2 linked regions of the Lonchura striata genome follow. The protein of the gene in region 1 purifies or fractionates together with the protein of each later gene. This does not show direct contact. Links are inferred from orthologs where the notes say so. Each region holds a gene or a part of one and is shown on either strand. Other genes may lie near its edges. The genes, in order: RPS6KA3 and FGFR2.

Evidence for each region.
Region 2: the proteins of RPS6KA3 (region 1) and FGFR2 purify together in Homo sapiens (affinity purification with mass spectrometry; 3 studies listed by BioGRID and IntAct, counting the BioPlex papers as one, with this or other methods). This does not show direct contact. The link is inferred for Lonchura striata from reciprocal best matches to the Homo sapiens genes RPS6KA3 and FGFR2.

The regions. Positions count from the first base shown.
Region 1 is NC_134604.1:102,352,808-102,365,045, forward strand, and holds the start of RPS6KA3 (ribosomal protein S6 kinase alpha-3), read right to left. Parts: upstream 4,687-12,238; 5' UTR 4,543-4,686; coding exon 4,471-4,542; intron 1-4,470. UniProt on the Homo sapiens protein: Serine/threonine-protein kinase that acts downstream of ERK (MAPK1/ERK2 and MAPK3/ERK1) signaling and mediates mitogenic and stress-induced activation of the transcription factors CREB1, ETV1/ER81 and NR4A1/NUR77, regulates translation through RPS6 and EIF4B phosphorylation, and mediates cellular proliferation, survival, and differentiation by modulating mTOR signaling and repressing pro-apoptotic function of BAD and DAPK1.
Region 2 is NC_134609.1:28,084,466-28,096,614, reverse strand, and holds the start of FGFR2 (fibroblast growth factor receptor 2), read left to right. Parts: upstream 1-6,812; 5' UTR 6,813-6,903; intron 6,904-11,034; 5' UTR 11,035-11,113; coding exon 11,114-11,288; intron 11,289-12,149. UniProt on the Homo sapiens protein: Tyrosine-protein kinase that acts as a cell-surface receptor for fibroblast growth factors and plays an essential role in the regulation of cell proliferation, differentiation, migration and apoptosis, and in the regulation of embryonic development.

The sequences.
Region 1 (12,238 bases):
TGAATCTACTCTAGCCTGAAAAACAGGTTAAAAGTTTCACTATTGGAATATGGCTATGAATTATATCTGGTGGAAAAAAGAACCCAAACAACAAAAAAAAAAGCGCCTCAAATCCAAAACAAAACACCTCCCCCAACCAAGTGCCACAGAAAAATGACAATTCCAAATGAGTATCTTGAGTTCTTAAAGCTGGTAGATCTGGCAACTGCCAAGATCAGTCAACACACAAAGCTAATACTTTTGATGTGCAGAAATAATTAAACGCCCACCTCAGTCTATATATCAATATGACTTTAAGTCTAGCATTTCAAATTACAAACATCTACAGTCAGTGTGACAGACCACAACCAGTTCAAAGATAACAGACACGCCTTTACATGTGTCAATCTTCTTACATCTACTTTATGTTACACATCCCAGCTGGGGCAAGAAATATTGCCTACACTAAAACGAACAAAACAATTACAAGAAAACTGCCAATGTCATAAGAAAAGCAACATAACCATTAAAAGAAGTTAAACTCAACACCTTTACAAAAAAAATCAAGAACTGCAGGGAGTACACAGCAGTGCAAGAAGGTACTGAAGTCAACAAAGTAAAACTCCTGCCTTTTCCTGCCCCACTCAGCTGACCACAGGACATCCTTACTATGTCACGGACTATGACTGTGTTAACTGAAAAACAAATCGGCTAAAATGGTGCCAATAAGGTTATGAAAAATCTGACCACCCCCTGTAACACTTTTCATGCAGACTATGTGTTTCTCAAGGCTGTGTTTACATACATAAAAGATCTGTTATCTATCACAGCAGTTTGTGGAATATAGTTTATGCTACTTATTTAAATCAGAATTAAATTTCCAATTCCCACTTTTAACTCAGTACAAGAAAGCATCATCCCATAAATCAGTGAAAAATTCAGACTTCAGAATGTACCATGCTGACAGCAGTTCTACGTGAGAAGCAACAGCCAAGTGCTGCACATAATTTTTTCTACAATGGAGAGAAAATGGATAGTTCTCAAAATCCTCACAGATTGGTCCATTTAGGTGATTCCACTTTGGCTTTAAGTATTTACCTGTGTTGGCTATACCAGAAATGACTGTAAATATTGCCTTAGTTCCTGTGGAAGACAAGGACAACACTGATTCACAGTACAGAATGTGAAGAGACAATCACAACCACAGGCTCAAGGCTAAAGGTGGCAAGACATCTGACAAACTTCAGCTTCCAGGCCAGAAATATATATTGACATAGAGAATGCCACACTGACAATCAAAATAAAATTACAAAGCAAAATTTGCATTATACCAGTTTCTTTAAAGTAGCAGCATGACTGTTAAATGCTAGCATACCTTGTCTCATGCAAAGTTCAAATAATACACACTATAAAACAGAAATTTGCGAAGGAAGATTCATAGCACCTATTTAAACACCTGAACAAATGACCATAAACCCTGTCAAGAGCAATGGGAAAAGAATTTCTCCACAGCCAGTTCTGAGCATCTAAATTAAAACTCCTAATGACAGCTGTCACAAATGCTTCCCAGAAAGTCTAGCAAATGGCATCTCCTTATGATGGCCAGCTCTTTCAACATACTGGTGTCCAAAATTTGGCTGCCATAACTGTATTCATTCTCCTCCAGTTGACATTAATATGCATAACTGAGAGTACAGATCAAAGGATCAGGCTAATTATTCAGGCATTCAAATGCAAACTCAAGTCATCAATACTTAATTTGCTCGAAAGCAGATGACTTGCAATAACAGGCATATTCTCACCATGAAAAACGAACCTATGCTTGTTATGAATCCTGAGTAGACTCTGAGTCAGTAAGAAACAGCATCATTCCACAAGCTTTAAAGGTGCTCTGATTTACAATATGAAACTGAAACTACACATACAGACACACTATTTAAAAAATATTTTAACAACTTTACACATTAAAAAAGCTGTCAGAGACAATGTGGATCACTGACCTATTTGCACCTGTAGAAAGAGAAGTCCTGAAAATGATTTTTAAAAATCATAAAGCCACATTTTATCTAAAAAACAATTGTCTGATTTTTTAAAAAAGAAAGATTATATTCTACTGTTCTGCACACCTAAGTTACAGCAGCTGTTTGTGGTTAAGTACACTTCCAAACTAAAGCTATTTAAAAGTATTCTAGTCCTCCTAAATTTGCACACCCATCACAGAACATCACCTCCTTGGCAGTACCACTGTAACTACAGGACTGCGCTGGAAAACAAATGAAAAATCAAGTCAATTAAAAATTCCATAAGTCGTTAAGACAAGGAAAAAACTCAAAAATTTGTAATTCCATATGCTGATAATACAGCATTACAAGAACTGTGTCAGCAAATCTGAGAGGTTAGCAGAAATGCTTTACTCAGAGTTACAGCTAAAGATATTATTAGTATCAAACTATGACTGAAATCACAATGAGTTTCAGGCAAATGTAAGAACATTTTTGCCCAAGGATACTCTTGCAGAATAGGGTCTGTAATTAGGATATTGCTATGCTACAGATAAACACAACTCATGCAAATCAAAAATCCAAGTTATGTATTTAGGTCACTTGTTGACATATTTGATTTAAACTTACCTATTTTTACTAAAATATATTTTCTTAAATAGTCATTTAATGTAAGCAATGTTTCTAAGTAACTTTTTCCTTTTGAGTGTCATCCGAGAAGCTTTTGCAGGTGCAGCCTGGTCCCTTCAAGAACTGTTTATTCTAGGCTAGGCCTTGGAGTACAAACCTGTCACTTCATGTTGTTTCATGTTTTATTATTGGTCCTAGACATTTTTTGGTGATAAGCTACTGTAGACTCATGTCAATATATGAGTTTAATTATTTTTAAGGAAGTGATAAAATACACTTGTTCCAAAAAGTTTATGACATCAATTTAAAAACAAATCATGTCTGAAATATGTTAAAACAAGTGAAGTATAATCATGAATGTACACACATTGCAAATAACATAATCTATTTTTCTACATATCTAGCATATATACTATTATTGAAGTTAGACTGCATGCAGTGAGCAAAGACTAAAGCAACAGTTCTTTTCTCTAAATGATTAACCTAAGTGTTTTCCCTTACCACCTTCTGCCCCACCCCCAAGCATCACACTATTGTAGTTACTCCCAATTTAAAATCATCTAAGATCACTACTCCAGAAGTCAGTAAATAACTAGCACAAATTTAAAAAGTAACTACCTGTCAAGAGTTAAAAAATTATATGTGCCTGTAGGTTCTTCTGACTCCCTGAGATACAGTGACTTTCAGCAGAAGAATGAGAAGACAAAGATGAAAAGGACAAATCCTGATACTGCAGAAACTCTGCATCGGTCCCTCTATGCTCATCTCACTAAGGAGAGAGTCCTAACCTTGCGAATAATTGTTGTGAGCTGGCCTGGGTCCACACCGTTCCACATCAGCATCACTTGAAGCAGCCTGGCTGCGTATCAGCTGGAGCCGATTCAGGTCGAAGCTGCACTGTCAAAAGCAGCTTTTTCTTTTCAGATGGAATCTGGTCACAAAGTAGCACAAGCACTGTGGGCTACTAAGGACTCATGGAGCAAGCACAACAGACTGTGTAGGTGCAGTGTTTACACAGATCCAAACCAACAGTAGTAGGAAAAATATGAGAATAGCTGAAAGCTTCTATGGCCTCGGTGTCAAGTGACTCTAATTTCCAGCCGCTCTCATTATTCCAGCCTAGGAAAGCTGACACGCGTCCTGCCTAACAAGGACAGGCACAACACGCACTCCCCGCTACCACAACGGGAAACCCACAGTGCGCGGCACCCCGGGCTTGTTCCCGGCAACGCCGCCGAGCACAAAGCTTCACCCATGCTTCACCACCCTTCACGTCCCTGCGGTTTCCCAAATTCTTGCGAAACTGCCGCCAACCCCATCCTGCCGAGATAAGGGGGCAGCGGCACCGGGCGGGGACCCACACGGGGAGATGCCGCAAGGCGAGGGCACCGGGCAAGGCGAGGGCGGGCCCGGCCCTCCTGCCCACCTCGAGCCGCGGCGGCGGAGGGCCGCCCCGGGAAAGGAAACTCGCCGTGACAGTAACCAGACACCGCGCTGGAACAAAAGCGCCCGACCCGGCGGCCACCACGGAGGCAGGTTACTCCCTCCCGGGAACGGGGCGGAAGGGGAGGGAGCGCGCCGGGAGCAGCCCGGTCCCGGGAACACACCCCGAGCTCGGCGCGGGCCGGGGAGCCCCGGCCGGTGCCGGCCGTGAGTCAGTGCCCCGGAGAGGAAGCGCTGTGCAGGGGCCGGCGCTCGCCGCGTTCCCCGCCGGGCCGCTGCCGCCGGCCCCCGCCCGCTGCCCGCCCCGAAACCTCCGGGGGAAAACTCTGCCCACCCGCTGAGCGACGGCGGCACCGGGAGCCCCGGTCCCGTTCTCTCCTCACAACTTTCCCCGCAGCACCCCCCGCCCACCCCGTACCTCGGTGCTGCTCTCGGCCGTGCTCTCCACAGCCATCTTCTGCCAAGGGTCTGCCAACTGCGCCAGGGGCATCTTTCCCGTCCGGCTCCCGCAGCCTCCGCGCTCCGCGTTCCCGCTACCCGGCGGGGGCGGCCAGGCAGGCAGCGAGCGCTGCGGAGGGCGCGGGACAGCCCGGCTGGCTCCGGCGGCGGCTCCTGCGGCGACTGCTGCCCGCTGCCGCCGCCGCGGTGCGCCCGTCCCTCCCCCGCGCCCTCCCCGCTGCCGGGCGGGGCCGCGCTGCCGCCCTCCCCCGGCCCGGCTTCCGCTCACGACATGGCGGCGGCCGCGCCCGCCCGCGCCTGCGCCCGGCAGCCCCCGCCGGCGCCGTTCGGTGCTGCTGAGGGGCTGCGCCCTCAGCGCCGCCGGCACCGCCGGGGCGGGCCGGCCCCACGGAGAGGGGCTGGGGAACCGGGGCTGCTACCGCCCCCCGGGGCTGGGGAACCGCGGCTCCGGGAACCGGGGCTGCTACCGCCCCCCGGGGCTGGGGAACCGGGGCTGCTACCGCCCCCCGGGGCTGGGGAACCGCGGCTCCGGGAACCGGGGCTGCTACCCTCCCCGGGCTGCGGGGAGTTGGAGACACGGAGAGTTTGTTCGCACAGACAAGCGCGGAGGGAGAAGTCGAGAGGCGGCTGAGACGTGGGATTGTGCAGAATATCATTAGGCAAAGAGGGAAAGGAATTAAGGTGTAGGAATTTGTTTTTGTAGCAACACCGTTTAAGCAGTGGTTGGACTGTGGGAGTTGCCTCGAAGCGGGAAAGTCATACTCCCTCAAGCCGAGAGACATGAAGATAAAGTTGTCAAAAAAACCCCCCAAAGGTTCAGAAAACGGCCCTTATTTTACTTTTTATTTTCAGGTGTTAGCTGGTACACAAACATATAAACTGAGACCTACAGCCTATGTGGTGTTACATGGTTTCCTGAAATGCTAAGCGCTGTCAAGAACACCCAAGTTTTGCAACATTAGATGGCTTGGCTGATGCTGAAGAATCCTTGAAACGTGAGACCAGCAACTGAAGGTGGGTGAGCACTGGTGTCAGACTTCTTGCTGTTGAAGCCAAACTTTCCAGAACTCTGAGAAGGCCTCTTAGTTTTTGAGAGCCCCCACTGCCCCGAGCATTTCTAGATTTTGATAGGTCACATGATTTGTTCCATCCTTTATAAAAGTTAACATTCTTTAAATACTTGGAAGGTTTTTTGGAATGGGAAAAATAGCAAGAGTGCTAGTAATTAAAAGTGTGTATGTGCATGCACACACTCTTGTGATGAACACAGACTGGTTCTGTTTCTGCTTGGTAGCAGTTTTGATCCCAGTTCATGTAAATACCTATCTACAAAGAGGAACGAAGGAGTGGATAGGCAGTTGCTAATAATGAATCAGTTGGTCCTACAGAGACTTCCATATCTGGAGTAAAAGGTCATAGTTGAATGATCACCTAAAGCCAGGAGGAGCAGATGTACCCTCATTCACTCCAAGTCAGTCTGGCCCTTGCATCGACCTCTCTTTCAAGGGTTGCAATTGCTTGTGCTGTCATGTGGTGAGTTATACCAGGGAACTGACCCGCATCAAAACTTACCCTACTGTACCTTTTTTACCTCCTGTTGTCCTCAAAAAAAACCCTACCAACCAACCAACCCACCATATTAAAGGCTGAAAGAGGAATTTAGACTGCTTCCTTCCAATGTGGTCAAGTTGCAGAACCCTAGCTGGTTAATGATATGAAATTTAGAACAATGCAAACATTATGATATTAAGCATAATGCAAGAAATAATTTTTCATAGTCTGAGCAGCAGCAGGTCACTTCAGTCTCAAACTGGCTGCTGGAATGTTGAGCATAAAAGTATTTTTTTACAGCAGTCATACATTATGTGGTTGACACACAAATCAGGACTTTAAAAAATAATCTCTGAGTTCATGTAAAAATTCATGATGTTAAAAAAAAAGTTACCTTACATCCCTCTGGAAATAAAAGTTTCTATTCCCTCACAGGAATATTTCACTTGACTTTATCAAAACTCATGCATTTGTACCTGCATCAACTACACAGTCAGGTACATACATCTGAGATGTTCCATTAGGGAGATGAACCTGAGAACTGAAAAGTGGCAATCACAAGAACAATACACCAAACCTAAGCTTGCATTTCACATAGTCCAACAAGTCCCTCTTTATAAAAGATTTTCTTCCTCTAACTAAAAAACTCCATGATCTCTTTTCCTTTCATAGTTTTCTAGTCCTTTCTTGCCACGGGTACATATTCTAAATTGTTTGAATTTTAAACTCTTTTTAGAAGGGGAGGGGCATCATAGTTTGGTTATGATTTCTGAATTTTTTACATAGATCTTCTTTTGTCCTTCCCTGTATGCATCTTACAAATCCAAAATAAAACAGGGGCAAAGATCTTCTGCACTAGCAGGTAAGAGAGCTGCAAACAATAGGAATCTGACCTTTTCTGAGGCACTGAAGTACAGAGTAGGTAGAAGTATGCCATTTCATTGTTCAGGGGTTTCAGTATTATTGCACCACGCATTTAAATTTTATAAAAGAGAAAGCTGCATCAGGATTTTAGTAGGAGCTACTATGCAAGAACAGACTTCAGGGCAAGAAAATCATCTGCAAAGTGTCTCCGCAGGGAGACATATCAGTTAATCTCTGGGAGATGCGGGGGATTCTGACTTTCAAATCTTGCTAAGCTCGGAGTTGGATCATCCTCCCAGAAAGAGGCAAGATGCTGAAGATATTTTACCTCAAGACAGCAGCTCCTATTTTTCATTCCTTTTGTCTCAGGCCAAAGTGAGGTAGTGCCTTCACCTGTGGCTGCAGACCTCTCCTTTTACCCTCTTTCCCTCTAGGCACAGCTATCTCTGCTTGACTGCAGTCACTGCTAATAACTGTCTGTCACTAGGCTCGGTTGTGGGCGTTGATTTCACCTTTGCATAAGTGGTTGCAATTGTGGTGCATCCACATGGATGTTTTATATGCATTGCAACCAAAAATTTGATCACGTTTGTTAGGAAAAGGGTAGCATATGGCACTGAAATGACAGTGCTGTATAAAATCCCATTAACTTGTCATATGAATTAGATGGGCTTCACATGCTGCACCATTTTTTTCCACTTCTTTCTAACAAACCTCACTAAAATGTCACTCGAATGCAAGGGAGACATCAGCTTAATAGTACTTACTCTTTTCCCACAGGCAGCCTCTTGATATATATGTGACAGAAATTAGGGAATCTTGCTTATGGCTGGTTGGATCTAATGCTTTGCTTAGCTTTGAAGTAGTACCTACATAGTCTTTGCAATTAGTGCAGAATTAATTGCAGAGTTAGTAAATCACCTTAGCCATGCCCCCCAAAATTAGAAGTGTAAAACAAAAATAGTTTGCTAACATTATGATCAGAATAATATTTGAGAACTTCAACTTGCATTTTTAAAATATACATAAAACCTGGGAGAAACCCAAATGAAACTATGGCAACAAGCCCCACAATCTGACACTTATCTAGAAGGTCTAGTAGTGCATTAGGTGGGAATTATGATGCTGTATCTTCTGAACGGAATATGAAACAGTAAATACAATGTGAAAGTGTGAAATTCTGTTTCAAGTATTGTGACCAAGGCACTGAGGTGTATAATTTGAATTTAATGCACAGGAAAATATGCAGAAGCTACTGTCTGAATTTATATGGGAAAAAACCTCCAAGGAGTTAAAAAAATAATCAATAACATTTATTTGTATAGCTGATAGACAAAGAGAGTCTCTTACTCTCAAGACACCTGGATTCAATTCCTAGCAGAACACAAAGGACAATTGTGTAATTTAGTCAGTCACTTCATATTGATGAGATTCAACTAAGAAGACTTAGTCTTTCTTCATGATCTTTTGAAAAGTGTGAGGAGGCCTTGTTTGAAGAAGCATAAATACATTCTGCCAAAATAAACTAAGGAAGCCTAGTGCTAGTTAGAATTGTTTGCTCTGTGCTTTAGGTGCAGATAGAAAGAACATCTCCTTAACCTCACTGGGATATTGGAAGGATGGTTTCAGTGATGTTTGGAAAGCTGACAAAGACCAGGGGAAGAGAGACAAAGTGCTACAAGAAGTTTCCAGCTGGTGTGAGTTGTCATAGCAGAGACACCAGAGCGATTTGCTGTACAAATCAGAGTTATAATCAATAACTAAGAAGGGAAGAACTGAAATGAATGTCTCTTGTGTACTAAGATTTAACCTGACCTTTCAAACAACATCTGCTGAAGGGGGCTTTCACCATTACAGGCCCCTGGATGATGGAATCATACAGGAATGCAAACATTTCCTGCATTTTCCTCTGGCAGGCTCTCCTTTGAAGTTCTAATCCTGCAAGTATAGTAGATGTGATAATGACAATAAGAATGCTTCTAAATCCTATATATGTTAGAGATACAATGTCTGACTCACTGCTTAAAGCTATAGATTTTCTGGATGTAAGTAAGTTTACATAAAATTGCACTGAAAGGGTAAAGCATAATGCATCATGCTCGATGGAATTACTTATCCAAGTTTTATCTGTGGTCACTATGCTAGCAGGAAATAATTGTGCCTGTGGTTTCTATATCCTGAGTGGAAATCTGGAATTCAATAAAATATGGTCTCATTACAGCATACCTGTCTCCAACATATGTTCTCATTTTAGTGTTTCTGTACATACAGAATAGCTCAGATTTATCATCTGAATGACAAAATTTATCCTGTTCACTGCAGAGTATAAGAAACCTCTTGCTGAGCTTTGAAATCTTACATGGAAACCTGCTGTCAAATACCGAATGCAAGTTGTCACCCCTTTGCAGTGGAACATTGAGAATCAGATTAGAATTTCAGATAGTGGTATTTTGAGACAAAAAGGAAATGGTGGAGTATGAACAAGATCAGTGTTCAAGGGTCAGAGTTCTCTTACATTAAATACAACACAAGATAGCTGTTTACAAAAAACGCAACAAAAACCAAACCAAACCAACCAAACAAAACAAAACAAAACAAAACCAAAAAAACCCACCAAAAATAGTGGTGATAGAGATAGAATATGATGTTATATTATACAATATAGCAATAAAAAACTCATCAGCTTCACAAATCATTGCTATAAAACACACTGTTGAGAGAAGGGCACATCACTATTTATGCACCCTACCCCCCTCCCAGATCTAGAAATTTAAGGGTCACAGACCCTTTTATTATTGTTATGAAATTAAAGAGCCTACTGACAAGCAAAGCCTACTGACAAGCAAAGCCTACTTTTTCTCACTTTTTTTGCTATTTAACCTTACTACCTAAATTTCCTGATTTTATGCCCTCACAATTAAATAGTGCCTTGGTCTCTTTGAAAACTAGTTACCAAATCTATTCTAACAATCTTACTCTTCACTTCCTTTTATAGATTATCCATCATCTTTTAACCAAGAATCCCTTTTAAATCTAGAAAGCTTCACTTTCTCTTTACTGACCCTTAATTATACTGAACAGGATTTTCCAGACTGAGCTAACAGCTGTCCTTTATCCTGCCTGACAACACCTGATGCTCATTCCCAGTAGTCTGGGGATATTTCCAAGATATGTGCTGTCGGTGTACCTAAAAATAGAGTTGGTTACCTCTATTGGTTTGAAAGATCCATGTATTTTCTCAAGACTGTTCACTCACTTTTCCATCAGCATCTCACCTTTGTGCCTTGCCTTTTGCCCTGTGGAGAACAAAGCAGTGCCAGAGGGGGCCCAGGTTTGTGATCATGTCCAAGATGCTGTGTAGAGGTAATATTTTCCTCAGCTCCCTGTATGAGCCCTGGGCCCCTCCGTGATTCAGTGGAATGATGGATTCACACTCATCTCTGCTCTTGATACATCAAAAAGGAACTTCACTGTTGACTGCCTTACCCTGAAGTGTTTTTTCAGCCCTCAATATTGGCTGGGAGCTATCAAACTCCAAAGTATACTGGCACCCTTCCTTGTGTCCTACAAGTGATTTTACTAGTGAAAAGGTGCCTACTCTAAATATGGATACTTTACATCTCCAGCAATCATTTCAGCATATTGCAATGACACAGTTCCACGGTGAGTGCATGTTTCTATCCCCCAAAGTCAGCGCTTACTGAAGGGAAGCATGACTGTGATGGAAGACGGCTCTGGAAGCATTATCTGGAAGCAATGAAGAGAAATATGTTAGATGAAACAGCCCTGTTCACCCCTAAGTACCTCAATCTGCCCCGGCTGTGTTGGCCCACTTTGTCCTATTTGATGGAGAAAAGACATGGTCAAGGCCTTGTTCCAGAGTCCCAACCTTGCCAAAAGGAATAGCAGGATGAGTAGGCAGCAACATTTATCCTGTAAGGCAGAGCAGCTTAAGACTGTGTTAAGATGTGGTTCCTTATTTAGAGCTTTAGAGATGCAAAATGGTATATATGTGACAGGTGAGTCAGAAACTGTAAATCTATGCTGTCTGATACTTGTTGAAGGTTCTGGGCTTAGGCTAATGAATAGTATGAACTTGATCTATTACTAGATGGTTAAGTTAACTGGAGGAGGGGAGACTGTGGAAGATTTTTGGCTTGTTGGTCATTCTTCATTAAGTGCCAAGGATGGTAATGTAAGATGTAGGATAAAATAGAGAAGGAATGCTGAGATAGAAGATGGCTTTTTAAAGAAAGAGCAGAACAGTTTTAAATACTATAAGAAGCACTTGTGTCTTGGATATGAATAGCCAGTTAAATCTATATATACTTCAGTAAATATTTAGTGAATCACAGAAAATTGTAAAGGCTGTTGTGTTCAAAGTGATAAGCCAGAGAGATGCTCTAAACATTTGTAGAAATCTGTTAGTATTTTCTTTTTTAAAGTCACTTGATACAAGATTAATGAAACAAACAACCATTCACATTAAATCTGTTACAACTGGATACAATTTCCAATGGCTTATCTTAATGCTTGTAGTAAGAAGTAAATATTCAGCTCATGAGTGGACATATAAGTTAATAGAGTTTTTGGTATTACATCACCACAGACAGTAGAAGGGATTAAATAAATTGTCAGGATTATATTCTTCCTCTACTGATTCACTTTGAGCAAACTGAAACTTTGTCTGACTTCAAAGAAGCTATTTTAAAAATCACAATTTTCAGGAAGCAGTGACGTTATTTTGCCTGCTTCATCAGAATGAATGCTCCTCTGCTGTACACAAATGCACTGCTTGCCCTAGTTGAACAAAAGCTATGATGAAGGCTTTGATCAGTGTTGACAGTGTTCCTGCAGTATTTCAGTGCTTCATTACTTTTTGCTTTTTAGAACCCCTACTAATGATGTTGGTTAAGAGAGAGTGTAAATTGCAATAAGATGGCCATCTCCAGAGAGTGCTGAATTGGTCTGTTGCAAGGCTTCCTTAATTATTAATTTCATTACTACAGATTTTTTTTTGTTCAATAGTTTCTCAGGACAAAGAGATATTTTTATTAGCTCCTTAAAGCACCACTCATTTTATGACAAAATTTATACACCTTAGTCAGCAGAGCACCTTGTACATTCACAACATATCATGTCATGGATGTTCTTGTCTGAAATGTGACATTTTGCACTGGGTTTATTTTTTCCTTGGAGACAAGCAGGAAATCTGTCACTAATTTCCTTCCAGCTAGCTTTGACTGCCTTTCTCAGTCCTCTTAGTCCTCTGTACCTTTGTTCTTCATTTCAGCTTCTGAAGACACATATGG
Region 2 (12,149 bases), on another chromosome or scaffold:
TTGGGACCCATCCATCTCGGGAAGGTAGGGAGAGGCTATTTATCATGAAACCCCTGTGGAGGATACCCGTGGGACAGGGCTGGGTCTACAAGGCTGTCTTTGGCAAATTAAAGGAGCACCAGGATTAAAAACCAGCACAAGCTCTGCTGCACATCCTCAGGACCTGCTGTATTCCTCCCACTAGAGGACAGCAGCTGGGTCAAGGCAGCCACCAGGAGCTTTTCACAGCAGAAGCAGGAATATAACAGCCCTACCCTTCCTGTAGAAACTTGTTCCTTTCTAGTGGTTTTCACATAATGAATCCCAGTGAATATTTAACTCAGTCTCCCCTGTAATCAAGTTTCTGGCCTCTTTACTTGTACCCACAGTGCAAAACATTTCCTGACCCATGGAGTTCAGCAGCCCTGGGAGTCTCCAGCAGGATCTCTGCTCAGTTGGCATCAGGAGAGCAGCGTGAGGGTTTTGGGGTTTTTCTCATCCAGCAATCACCAACACAACCTTTGTTATCCTTTAAGAAATGGAATCTGACTTCAACTTGGCTATCTAAATCAAAAGCAGGCCTTCTCTCCAAGCCCTGAAATATGGCTGTGTGTTTACACATATATGAATATTCATTCATATGCATATGAATATTCAGTAATGCAAGTCTGGATTTCATGCAAAGCAAGCTTCCCTGCAACCCTGTATTTAAAACAGAAGATAAAGAAGGAGAAAAGTATGTTTCTGGGTCTGTGGGAGCAGGGAAAAAGGACAATTTGGGTCTGTGTGTGGGAAACCTTTCTGTGACTTTGGTTTAAAGAACTCCCCATGCTTGTATCAAATTGCCTTTGGACTTTATCTGCCTGACCATCACCTTTCCATGCCATTTTTGGGGACTGCAGCTTGTGAACGTGGTTGCAGAGTTAACAAATGAGGGCTGTTAAACCTCGATGCATCTCTGTTTATGGAGACTTTCTTGGGCAGATCACTGGCTGCTCCCCAAGGCAACCCAGTGAAATTGTGGGTACCACAATCCCCTGGCAAAGTGGAGGAGGCCACCTTCCAGTGGGCACTGGAGCTGATAAAAGGCATGGCTTACACTGAGAGGAAGAAGAAAATTCCTGTGAAAACTACGGTAGGAGATAGGAAAGGAAATTATGTGCAAAGGATGGGGAGAGGAGAAAGAATATTGACTGCCTGGAGAATGCTGACTTGAAAGATGTTTGAGGGTTAAGAAGAATGAGGCAGGGAAATAGTTGTAGGCATTTCATGCTTTATTACCCAAGGTGGGAAGTAGAAGAATTTTTTTTATTTTATATTTTTAACTACAGAGTGACTGTGCCTGCTTGTGTCTGCACCTGGCCTGTGGGAGAGAGAACTGGAAGTGCAGAGCTTGGCACTGCAGCAGAGGATTTGGGAAGCAGGAGGGATCTGTTGGGATTTGGTGCTGTGGGACAGCTGGGTCACAGAAAGAGCAGAGTGCCCACACTGTGGGTTCCTTCCTTCCAGTTTCCTGCTCCTTGCAGGATTCAGACTGTAACACGAGCCCTGGTGCAAAGCTGACTTCACACCTCCTGCTCTGTGCCTGGAAGCTGGAGCACCTCTGCTGAGCCCTGCGGTGTCAGCAGGGAGGAACCTGATCTGATGGAGCCCTGCAGGGAAGCTGCCACAACCACCAGTGAGGCACAGGGCTCCTCTAAAACAAACCAGTGGGTATTGATCAGCTGGAAACAGAAACGAGAAGTGCTTGGGCCAGCAAGTAAAATATACCCCAGTTCTGTAACAGAAGGAGAAATTTTCTTTGCAGCCTTTGTCTCCTCGTTTTTACAAGTCTGGCTCTGTCAGAAGTTTATTCACAGGGTTTCTCTGCATTCTGCTTTAAAGGAGATCACTGCTAAAAGATCTTCTGCCATGGATGCTGCTTTCCACTCTTTTAGAAATGATACTGTTCCCCGAGAGCCAGGGGTGCTTTACCAGGACAGTGTGTGACAAATCCTTTATGAGGGAATACATAATAAATGGAGGATTTTCTTTTATTTTGATTATTTAGTATTCAATATTTGCATTATGGAAGTGCCTGGAGGTTCCAGCTGAGATCACTGCCCTATTGTTCTAAGCCATGCATAAAAACATGGTCAGAGATGAGGAGCTTAACATCTAAATAGATGAACTGGATAAAGGGTGGGAGACAGGAAGCATCTATTATTCTCATTTCATAGCTGGAGAGCTTGGACACAGACAAATTAAGTGCTTTTCCCAGGAAAGCCAATGGAGAAGGGCAGAAATCATGGATTGTCCAGGATGCCACTGTAATACCCTGCTCAAAACACTCCATATTTCCTGCTTAAATATATCTTGCGACACTGTAATGAAAACAACAAATATTTGTTTGGAATATTTTCCTTAAGACACACAAAATGAGAGGTGCAGCAGAAAGGTTACATGGCTACAAGGCATAACAATCCAAGGGGAGTGTTGATACTCAAATGCCATTACAAGACACTGACACAGCAACAGTCAAAGTAAGATTTTTTTTTTTTCCTCAACTGCTTAGCCTTACTGCCTGGAGAAGTATTTCCTAGAATATTCAGCCGTTCATAATGCAGAGGAAGATCAAATATTGATGGACAAAAGCAATTAATTTGCCCCCTTCTCTAGCTTAACCAAAATGACGTTTCCATGTTTGATAAACACCCAGTAAAACTATCCTTTGATGGGCCAGGAGCAGCAGCTTCCCCTTCCCGTACAAATTTTCCTGCAAAAGAACTTAGTAGCCCATCTGCTTCACACTTTCATGGATAATTATTGGATCTATTTGTATTAAAATAATTAATTGTTATCTCAGTTTCTCAATTTAGCAGCCTCTTGAAGTAGTATCTGGTGAGAATTATTGATGGAAGCCTCTCTTTTAGTAGTAGCTTTTGTTTTAAAACAGGGTTGTTTTTGTATGAAATAACTTTTCCCTAAGACACTGAAAAATCTATAGAGCAACTTTGCCTGTCTTTGAAAAAAAAAAATCAGAAGTGGGGTCCTATTATTTGCTCTTGGGTACCCTAAAAAGGAGTTTGAAGCTGCCTGGAAAGAAAACCATAAACATTTTGGAAACCAGGTAAATATTTTAGCTGCCAAAGTTTGAGTTTAGACACTTAGCTTTGGAAGAACTTCAAAGAAAAGAAAAATCTTAGACAAGCATTTAATCATATCCAGCATGAGCAGGAGAAATTTTTGGATGGGACAGTTGGAATAACAGGGAAGAATTGTTGATTCCCATTGTCTTTCATGGAGAAAACCCTCGGTGATGTGTGTGGTTGAATTTGGATTTAGGGAGTTTCTCCCCAAAGACCTCTAAGACTTGAATGTGTGGGCTTTCATTTTCTTTCATTTTTTTCCCTGCTTTAACTCCATGTATTTTATTGCTGTTTCCATCAGCGGCATGTTGGCAGGTCCTGCACCTGGAGAATGGTGCAGTGCTGCAGAACCTCCTTCCCCGGGGTACCCATGGCCTCCCCTGCCATCTGCCAGGAGCTGGGGCTGCTTCCTCGCTGGAATTCCACGGAGGAGCCGCTTCCCGCGGAGCTCTGCCTGCCCTGATATCTCCAGCACTTAAAAGAAATGTCAGAGAGTCTGCGGGGATTAGAAGAACTGAGAGAGCTCTGTGCTGTGCTTTTTTCCGAGGTGACTTTTCCCGCATTTCTCGGAGGCGCTGCCTGCCCGTCTCACCCCATCTCCCCGCAGACACGAGCTGCTTGCCACCTGCTGAACCTTCTGCCTTCATCCCTTCCAGCTGGGCTTCTATGGATGAGCTGGTCCAGCCCAGGAGCAGCCTGAAGTCGGGCACATCTTTACCCCCCCAGGTAAAAGGGATGTTGGGAGGGAATGAATCCATTCCCTAACTTTTTGCCTTCATCCCTTCCAGCTGGGATGAAGGGATGAGCTGGTCCAGCCCAGGAGCTGCCTGAAGTCGGGCACATCTTTACCCCACCAGGTAAAAGGGATGTTGGGAGGGAATTAATCTATCTCCTCAGTTTCTGCCTTCATCCCTTCCAGCTGGGATGAAGGGATGAGCTGGGCTCTGCTGGGTCCAACCCAGGAGCTGCCTGAAGTCGGGCACATCTTTACCCCGCCAGGTAAAAGAGATGTTGGGAAGGATTGAATCCATCTCATCACCCAGCTGTGCCCTCGCTGCAGCTGGAGCAGGGCTGGGACCCTGCTCCTGTTGAACATTAACTCTATCCCTGCCTGCGTGCAGAGGGAGGACTGGAGCTGGGCTGACAGCAGCGACAAAGAGCTGGCAGGGCTGAAAGATTCAATTTAACTTTCTTTCTCCTCCCCCGCTTCCATATGCGAGGGCACACAGCGCTGTTCCTGCTTTTGAAACTTGCGGGGCAAAGGAGCATTGGTGTCCTCATTTTCCTTCCTCCCTATTGATGTATCATTGCCAGGATGAAAAAGGACGTCTCAAGAGCTTTTGAAAAAATGGGTGACTACTCAAGACATTTTATAAAGGAGGAAGAATGGGAGAGAAAATAGGACTCGGTAGGGGGTAGAAGGAGCCTGAATGTGTGCCTTGTCTGTCTATTCTTTAGCTTGAAACCTGGAGCTGTTGTTCCTATTTCAGTTCAAACTGTCACCTTTAGTTCATGATGGCTTTACTGCCCTTGCTCCTGAACCTCAACAGATTGGGGCTTATTTACCTATTCACACTCTGCTGTGGAACCTCATTAATAGGCTTATTAGCCACACCATTCACGTGCAGGAGGGCTCACAGAAAGGATCCCAGCCACTTTGAGAGGAGGAGGAAAAAACTGTAAAGAGATTATGCTCTCATTCAGCAGCCTAACTGCTATGAAAGGCTCCCTGGGCCCACTGAGATCTCTTGAAGCCTAAATATGATGACAGAATTGATCCCCCCCCCCCCACCCCTTTAATTCCAAACATGCTTCTGCTTTTCTCAGATTGAGGAGCTGGGCTGTTGTGGGCCACTTTAGGAGAATGTGGCTCATTTAAGAGAAAAGGCTGCTATTGATAGACTGCTATCTTTTCATCCTCCAAAAGAATAAATTCTGACAAGTGCTTCCAGACCTTGGAAATAGGTGTTCTGACTTGTCATTTTTAGTGGAATGCTTCCTTTTCTTTCAGAGTATGCAAAGATATCGATGAATGGGGAAAGGTATTGCAGCTTCCTGTGCCGGACAATAATTTATGTGAGAATGTGTTAACAATGTTTTCAATGGGCGATGGACATGCCCGGTGCTGGGAAAATTGGATCTTGACTGTGACATCTCAGCTTCTCAATTAGTAACATTCAGATGTCTGTTGCTTTAGGAACAACAAAAAAACCCCGCAAAAACAAAAAACGAAACCTGTGTTTCCAATCAATTACAAATTTGTCTGCCCTCCCTCATAAAGGCTGCAGTAGTGGTGGGAAAATACGTGCTGGGAGGTAAGTACAGAAAACTTGAAGTTTTTGGTGTCTAGGTGTGTGGAAATAGTCTTACACTACGATGCGTGGCCTCAGTCCTTGAAAATCCCCTTGATCAATACTTCACACAACATATAAAATGTACAGTAGAGCTTAAATAAAGTAACATTAAATTGATCAACACTGATTAAATTTGAGGCAACCACCACTTATTGATTTTGTTGTCAAGCTGATTCTACACAAGCAAGCATTACAGACTCCATATTCAAAACCTTTGAATGGTTGATGGTATCTAAAGCAAATGTTTTATTAAGCAAGGATCAGGCTAAGCTATATTGAATTCTGAATACCAATATTATGCAGTTTTAAATCCGTGTGGCCAAACAAATGATGTTTGCATAACTTTTCGACAACTTTTCCCATTTGGGCACCACACGGGTATTAAAAGTGCACTGTCAGACCAACTCACGGGGCAGCTGGAATCAAGCTTTGGATGAGAGGCTCCTGAGGGTAATTTTTGGAGCGGGTGTTATCCAGCTACCCTCTCTGGATGGGACTGGCCGCTGGCCAGCCGTGGCTTCTGAGCCAGAAACACTGCAGGAGAGGTTTCGGGGACAACTGCCGAGCTGGTACCATTTCAGCGTGAGGATGCAGACGCTGCCCAGCGCCGGGGTGGCGGTGCCGCAGCCCAGGCTCACCCGCTGCGGCGGCGCTTTCCGCGCACCTCTCCCTCTCCCTCTCCTTTCCAGCCCGCTGGAAAAACTTTCAGCGGAGCAGCCGGCCGGGAGCAGCGCGGGTTCCTGCCCTCGTCCCCGCGGCCGCCCCGGGATGCGCTGCCCCGCTGCCCCGGGCGGGCAGGGCCGGAGCGCGGCTCCCCGCTCCCCTCCTGCCCCGCGCCGCTGCTGCCGCGGGGGCACCCGCGACCCCCGGGCGGGGTGGGGGCTCCCGGCTCCGCACCTCCGAGGGCTCGGCGGCGATTGGCAGAGCCCGGCAGCGCCGTCCAGGAAACGGCTCGGGTTGCAGCGGGGGGAGTGACCGGGGGAGGAGGAAGGAGCCGGAGGAGTGCGCCGAGAGGGGGGGAGAAGGGGGCAGAGAAAACCCACCTCCCACCCGAGGGGGCTGTCGGCGTGACAAAGCTGCGGCGGCTCGGGGCGGGCGGCTGGATGGAGCGGAGCGGGACCCGCGGCGCGCTGCTCGGCGATGCCCGCGCGGGGGAGGAGGCAGCTGGCGCCGGGCACGGCGGGCTCGCCCCTGTGAGGCGGTAGCCGCCGCGGCCGAGCCAGGGCACGGCACGGGACGGGGCGCCGGGCCGGCTCCTGCCTCGCCTCGCCGCCCTCCTGCCTGCCCCGGGCGCGTCCCGCGGGGGATGCGCGGCGCTGCGCCGCTGCGGGCTCGCCAGCCGCGGCCGCCCGCGCCGTGACCGCGGCCGCAGCCGCGGGAGTTCCGCCCCGTCCCGGGAGCCGCCGCTCCGCAGCGGAGCCCGCCCGGCGCTCTCGCCGCAGGTAAAGGCAGCGGGCGGGCCGGGGAAGGGCGGCCCGGGGCAGGGCTGGGGGTCCCGCCGCGCTCCCGGCTCCGGGCGGGGCTCGGGGGTCCCCCGGTGCGGGGCTGGGGGTGCCCGGGCCGGGATGCGCCGGTGCGGGGCTCCCTTTGCTCCGCGGTGGAGCTGCGGGTCGCGTTGCGGTCGCTCGGTCGCCGCTGCGGTGCGGGGGGAAGCCCGAGCAGCAGCGCTGTTCCCCTGCCGTTCCCGCATCCCCGTGGGTGTCTTCGGGGATGGTTCCAGCGGTGACAGCAGCACGGGCGGAGGAAGGGAGGCTCGCCCCGGAGGAGCAGCCCCGCCTCGGTAGCGGCCGCGGGTCGGAGCCCGGTCCTGCCCCGCCGTGCTGCGGGAGCGGGGCTGCGGGGCACAACCGCCCCGTCTGGGACAAGGGGGGAGAGAAATCGTCAATGAAATATATATTTAAATGCAAAACGGCCCCTTCAAACTGGGACCCATTATGCGTTTGGTGTGAAACGCTATCAACATTTAAAACTTTATTGTCTCCTTTGTACCAAATCCCTGTAAATCTTCCACTAGCCTTTTCTCATTTTCATCTGAAAAGCCTGTTTGGGCTGAATAGACAGCAATCAGCAGCCTCTGGACTTCTCCCGCTCTCTGGAATGTCAATTAAAATGCAGATTTTTCTTCCCCCCCCCCTCCCCGATCTCTTGGTGGCAAAAGACTTGAGAAAAACAGGATAGTCCTGGAAAGCAAATGAAAGAAGTTCAAACAATGAAAAAGTACTGAAGCTGCCAGCCGGTTCCCATTAGTCCTTCAGAATTAATGTTTAATAGCTGTGATACTCAGATTTGCTTGGCGATTGAACTCTGCTGAAGAGTCTTGTTAGATATATATGTGTATGTATATTTTTATAGATGGATGTATATTTCTGCATTTTCTGTCCATACACAATTCTTCTGTCAGTGGAATTGTGTATATAAAGCTGTTAGCTTTAAAGCTTCTTCAACCTGGATTTTTTCTGACGAAGCTACTAGGCTTTTAGAGCCCTTGAGGTTTCTTTGTGGAGGGAAGATCCATATTTCACTCAGATTTTGCTATTCCCCGCCTAATTGAGAAAGATGCTGAAAAGTTATACAGTGACCAATGCATTGATTTGGTTAACATACTCTACAAATCGTGCTGTCCCTGGGGAGTGATAAACATCTTATAAACAACAATGCAAGTAGATTAAAAAGAACACTGAGAATTGAATTTAATTAATGTCACTGCTGAACAAGTACTACTTGTTTGTGTGTGCGAGTGTGTTTAAACTGAAGTGCAGCTTGGAGGAATTTGGTTGGGCTCCCAAACCAGTCTGCTTTCCCATGCTTGTCAGTTTGGCAAAGAAAATTTGGGCAGGTATGTGACGAGGTGAAAATTGACTTGATGAGCGAGTGGCAAGGAGAGCCATCAATCATTGGGGGCTGACAACTCCTCCCCAAAGTGTAGGCTGAGAAGAGAGACAGAGTTCCCTTTCAAGGGGAAAAATAAACACTACGTGTGGCTTTCACTGAGTCTGAGACTCCAGGAGGGATTATGGTATTGTAGTCAGGAAGCCAGAATTGTGGAGGCCAAAAAGCATGCTGGGGCTGTGTTCCAAACATTGAGATAGAGGTACATAATTATCCAGCACAGGAGGTCTTTCCAGGGACTCGTCCCCCAGCAACTGTGGCAATTAAACTATGAAAAGAATTTGGTGGTTTCGTTGCATCTTCGCTGGACTCCACTTCTTTTGGGAGAGGGCAATCCTTGAAGCCTGTCTGCTGTCCTGGTGGTAGAGTGGTTTGGCTCCATGGATGGGTGCAGAGCTCTGATTTTTGCATCGTTGCGCCTTCGCAAGGCAGGATTTTGGGTTTGCTGCTGCCCTGTGGATGAAGAATCCCTTCTTTCTGCCGGCAGATGTTGAGGTGCAGGAGGCAACAAAAACCTTCAGGTGAGGAGACGCGTGGCCAAGTAGCTTTGTGCCGCTCTTCAGGATTTAGGGTGAGGATAGGAACCACAAATGTGCTGTCAGTGGTGTTTAGTGTAGTCTGAAAATCTGAAACTGCAGGAATGTCAGTGGAATTAATGCTCTTGGAGTTTGAAATACATGCTGGCGTTCTGGTATGTTTTCTTTCTGCAAAACCGTGATAGGATTTTGCATTTATCAACATAGGCTTTAATCGGAGTTTACAGGATGATTTATGGAAATGAAATCAGCATTACAGCCAGGCTGTTAATGAGGGGTTTCTACCCACTTTACAGCTGGATAAACTGAGCTGCAGGGCTGTGGCTGCCAGACAGCGAGGTGGGCAGTGGACCTGGGTGGTGGCATCCAGGGGGGTTTGCTCCACGCACAGAGTGGTCCCAAAACCAGAGCTCTCTTCAGCTCTACACCTGCTCTCTGCTTATTTAGAGAAGGGCCGGGCAAGCTCTTTGCAAATGTTTGTGCAGTGGTCTGGTGGTGTTTTCGCTGGAAATGTAATGGTAGTTGCTAGCTTGTGGTCTGGGATGCTGGAGCCGGGCTGAAATCTTTACAGGAAGGGACAGGGCTTTGAGGTGATACCAACGGAGTTGGAAAAAGCTTGCCCTGAAGTAGCAGGGATTCATCTTGTATTGTTTTCCTCAAGTGATTTATTTATGTCATCCAAAACCTGTTTCTACTGACTCCAAAAGTTACTGTGTATAGTGCCCAAGATAAAAGATGCCCCAGCAGCATTTGTGAACTTTGTAGCAGCTAGCGCAAGGCTAATAAAAATCAGAATCAACTTTTTAAATGGTTGGCTTTATAAAAGGAGAATCTTTGTCCCTGTTTCAGCATGCTGAGGTACCACACCAAATCTTAATGACAAGAAGTTTGGAGAAGGTTTACATTATCTCCACACTCCCTTACTTCTTCTTTTTTTTATTATTTTTTTTATTTTTTATTTTCAAGTGTTGGGGGCAGGAGGGAAAAAGAGGTTTTGTGGTTTTTTTTCCCCTTCCAGACAAGTGCTCTCCAAATTTCAGTTGAGTTTCATCACATCTAAGATGAATCATTGACCAGATTAGAACAATTGCTGCAGTTACTTGTTTTATCCATTTACTGAGGTTTTACTTTTATTTCTGAAGCGGAAAATCAGGTCTCATTTTCTGCTTGAGCTGTTAAATCACCCTGTGAGGAGGATGCTCTTCTGACCCTCACCTGGCATCTCAGTGTGGAGGCAACAGGGTCCCCTGAAGGGAGTGCCAGTTCCTTTCATGCTACTTCTGTCAGACCGTGGCTGGATTATCACTTAACTTCATCCATTTAAATTTGTTTTATTGTGAATAAGATAGACTCTTTTTTTTTCCCCCACCTCTGAAAAATATATCTCAATAAGCATCACTGAGAGACTGAGCAAAGAAAGTTTTGTGCACAAAAGTTGGCATGTATGGATGGAAAGTGGTGATTGTGAAACAGCACTCTCTACCATATTTTATACAGATTTTAATTACCTGTAATGCAGTGTAGCAAACCAATATCACTGCAAAGACTTGAGCCTTTCACCTGACAAGGACTCAGGGGTTTCCAAAGACCACTAAACTGAGTCAGAAGAAGGTACATCCATGAAATAGTCTTACAGATTTTTCCAAGTCTGAGCAGTATATTTTTTCAACTGTTTTTCTTCTGGAAAATTACTGAATTCCTGCAAATTCGTCTGGCTGCAGAACTGCCTAGGTGAAGGAATGAAAAACAAGGCAAACTTACATAAACCTTCAAACAATAACAAGAATATAATTTGTATAATTGTGGTAATTTTGTAGCATTACAGGTTATATGCCTGCACATGTGTGTGCCTCTCATTTTTTGAAAACCTGTATGTTTTTCTGTCAGTAAAATAGCTCTCAATATGTGCTGAGAAGTGATTTTGTGAAAACAAGGAGGACTTGGTTACGCCTCAGGTGATGATGGAAACTGCTAACAGAAGATGAAAAGTCACTCACTTTTCACATATTCTTGAAGCTGGAAAACTACTTTCCCCATCCTCCTGCTCCCCTCCCTCTCACCTCAGCTCTGTTGGAGGCTTTATGAAGTTTTTGGTTTGTGTTTGGAGATGTTTTTGCTGACAGTGTTCCATCTCTCTCCTCCCCGCAGCAGCCGTCTTTCCAAGGGAGGAGGCATTACCCTGGCCGAAGGCACGGCTTTCTCTCCATGCTTCTCTAGAGGTGTTCAGATGGGATTAAAGTCCACATGGAGATATGGAAATGGACCAGGAATTTACTCTAAAAAGATGGTCAGCTGGGATTCGGGTTGCCTTATCTGCCTGGTGGTGGTCACCATGGCTGGACTTTCCCTGGCTCGACCTTCATTTAATTTAGTTGTTGAAGACACCACGGTGGAACCTGAAGGTAAATCACTCTCGAATACTTAATTCCTTAAAAGAAGCTAATTTTAAATGCTTGGACATGTGAAATAGAAGTCAAGATCTTTCCATGTGCTCTGGTAAATCTAAGGCAAGTAGCAGAGCAGCCCTGGCGAGTTACGGTTTCTGACTTTCCCTGCTCTCGCCTGGGCTGTGTTTGTACAAGCGTGCGTTTGTTTATTCTTGTGCAAGCCAGTGGTGTCAGTGATTTCACTTGGGACTGTCATCACGTTGTATAATCAAAGTGTACAGATGAAAGTTTTCAGGAACGGGTCTTTAAGGAAACCACTCTGTGGCACTTGGGTGTTGCTGTCTCAAGGAACAAAGCGGATGAGTGGCTGCTGCTCTTTGGGATTGTCTTAACCTGAGGAGTCCAGAGAAAAATGAATCTCTGTGGTTTTCATTTGGGAATGTTTAGTTTTGCTGGGCACGCTGCAGAAATGCTATGGCAGCTTTGTTGGTGTTTGTACTCAGGACAAACGTCCCTGTTGCTGTTAATATCCAGGCACAATCGGTGGTGCAGTGCCTGGATCACAAGTTCTGAAGATGTGAATGTTGAGATCTCAATAGAAGGGCTGGAGTTTATTGCTGTGAGAGCAAAGGCCAATCTAGACCTTCACGTTGAAAGAGGTGTTTTGATAAAATCTCCTATTTTGAGCTTGCACGTGTTGGTATGTTCTTCTAGGTTTATCTGCTCCTCAAGCTTTGCAAAGTGGTTTTCTTCTCTGGAGAGCTCAGGAGAGGCTGCTTTTTCATTGTTGTGAGCTGATTGTGTTGAAGAATGATTTTACTGTGTTGTGCTGGATCATTCCTGCTCTCTGAGCATCTGGGGGAGGAAGTGAGGCTT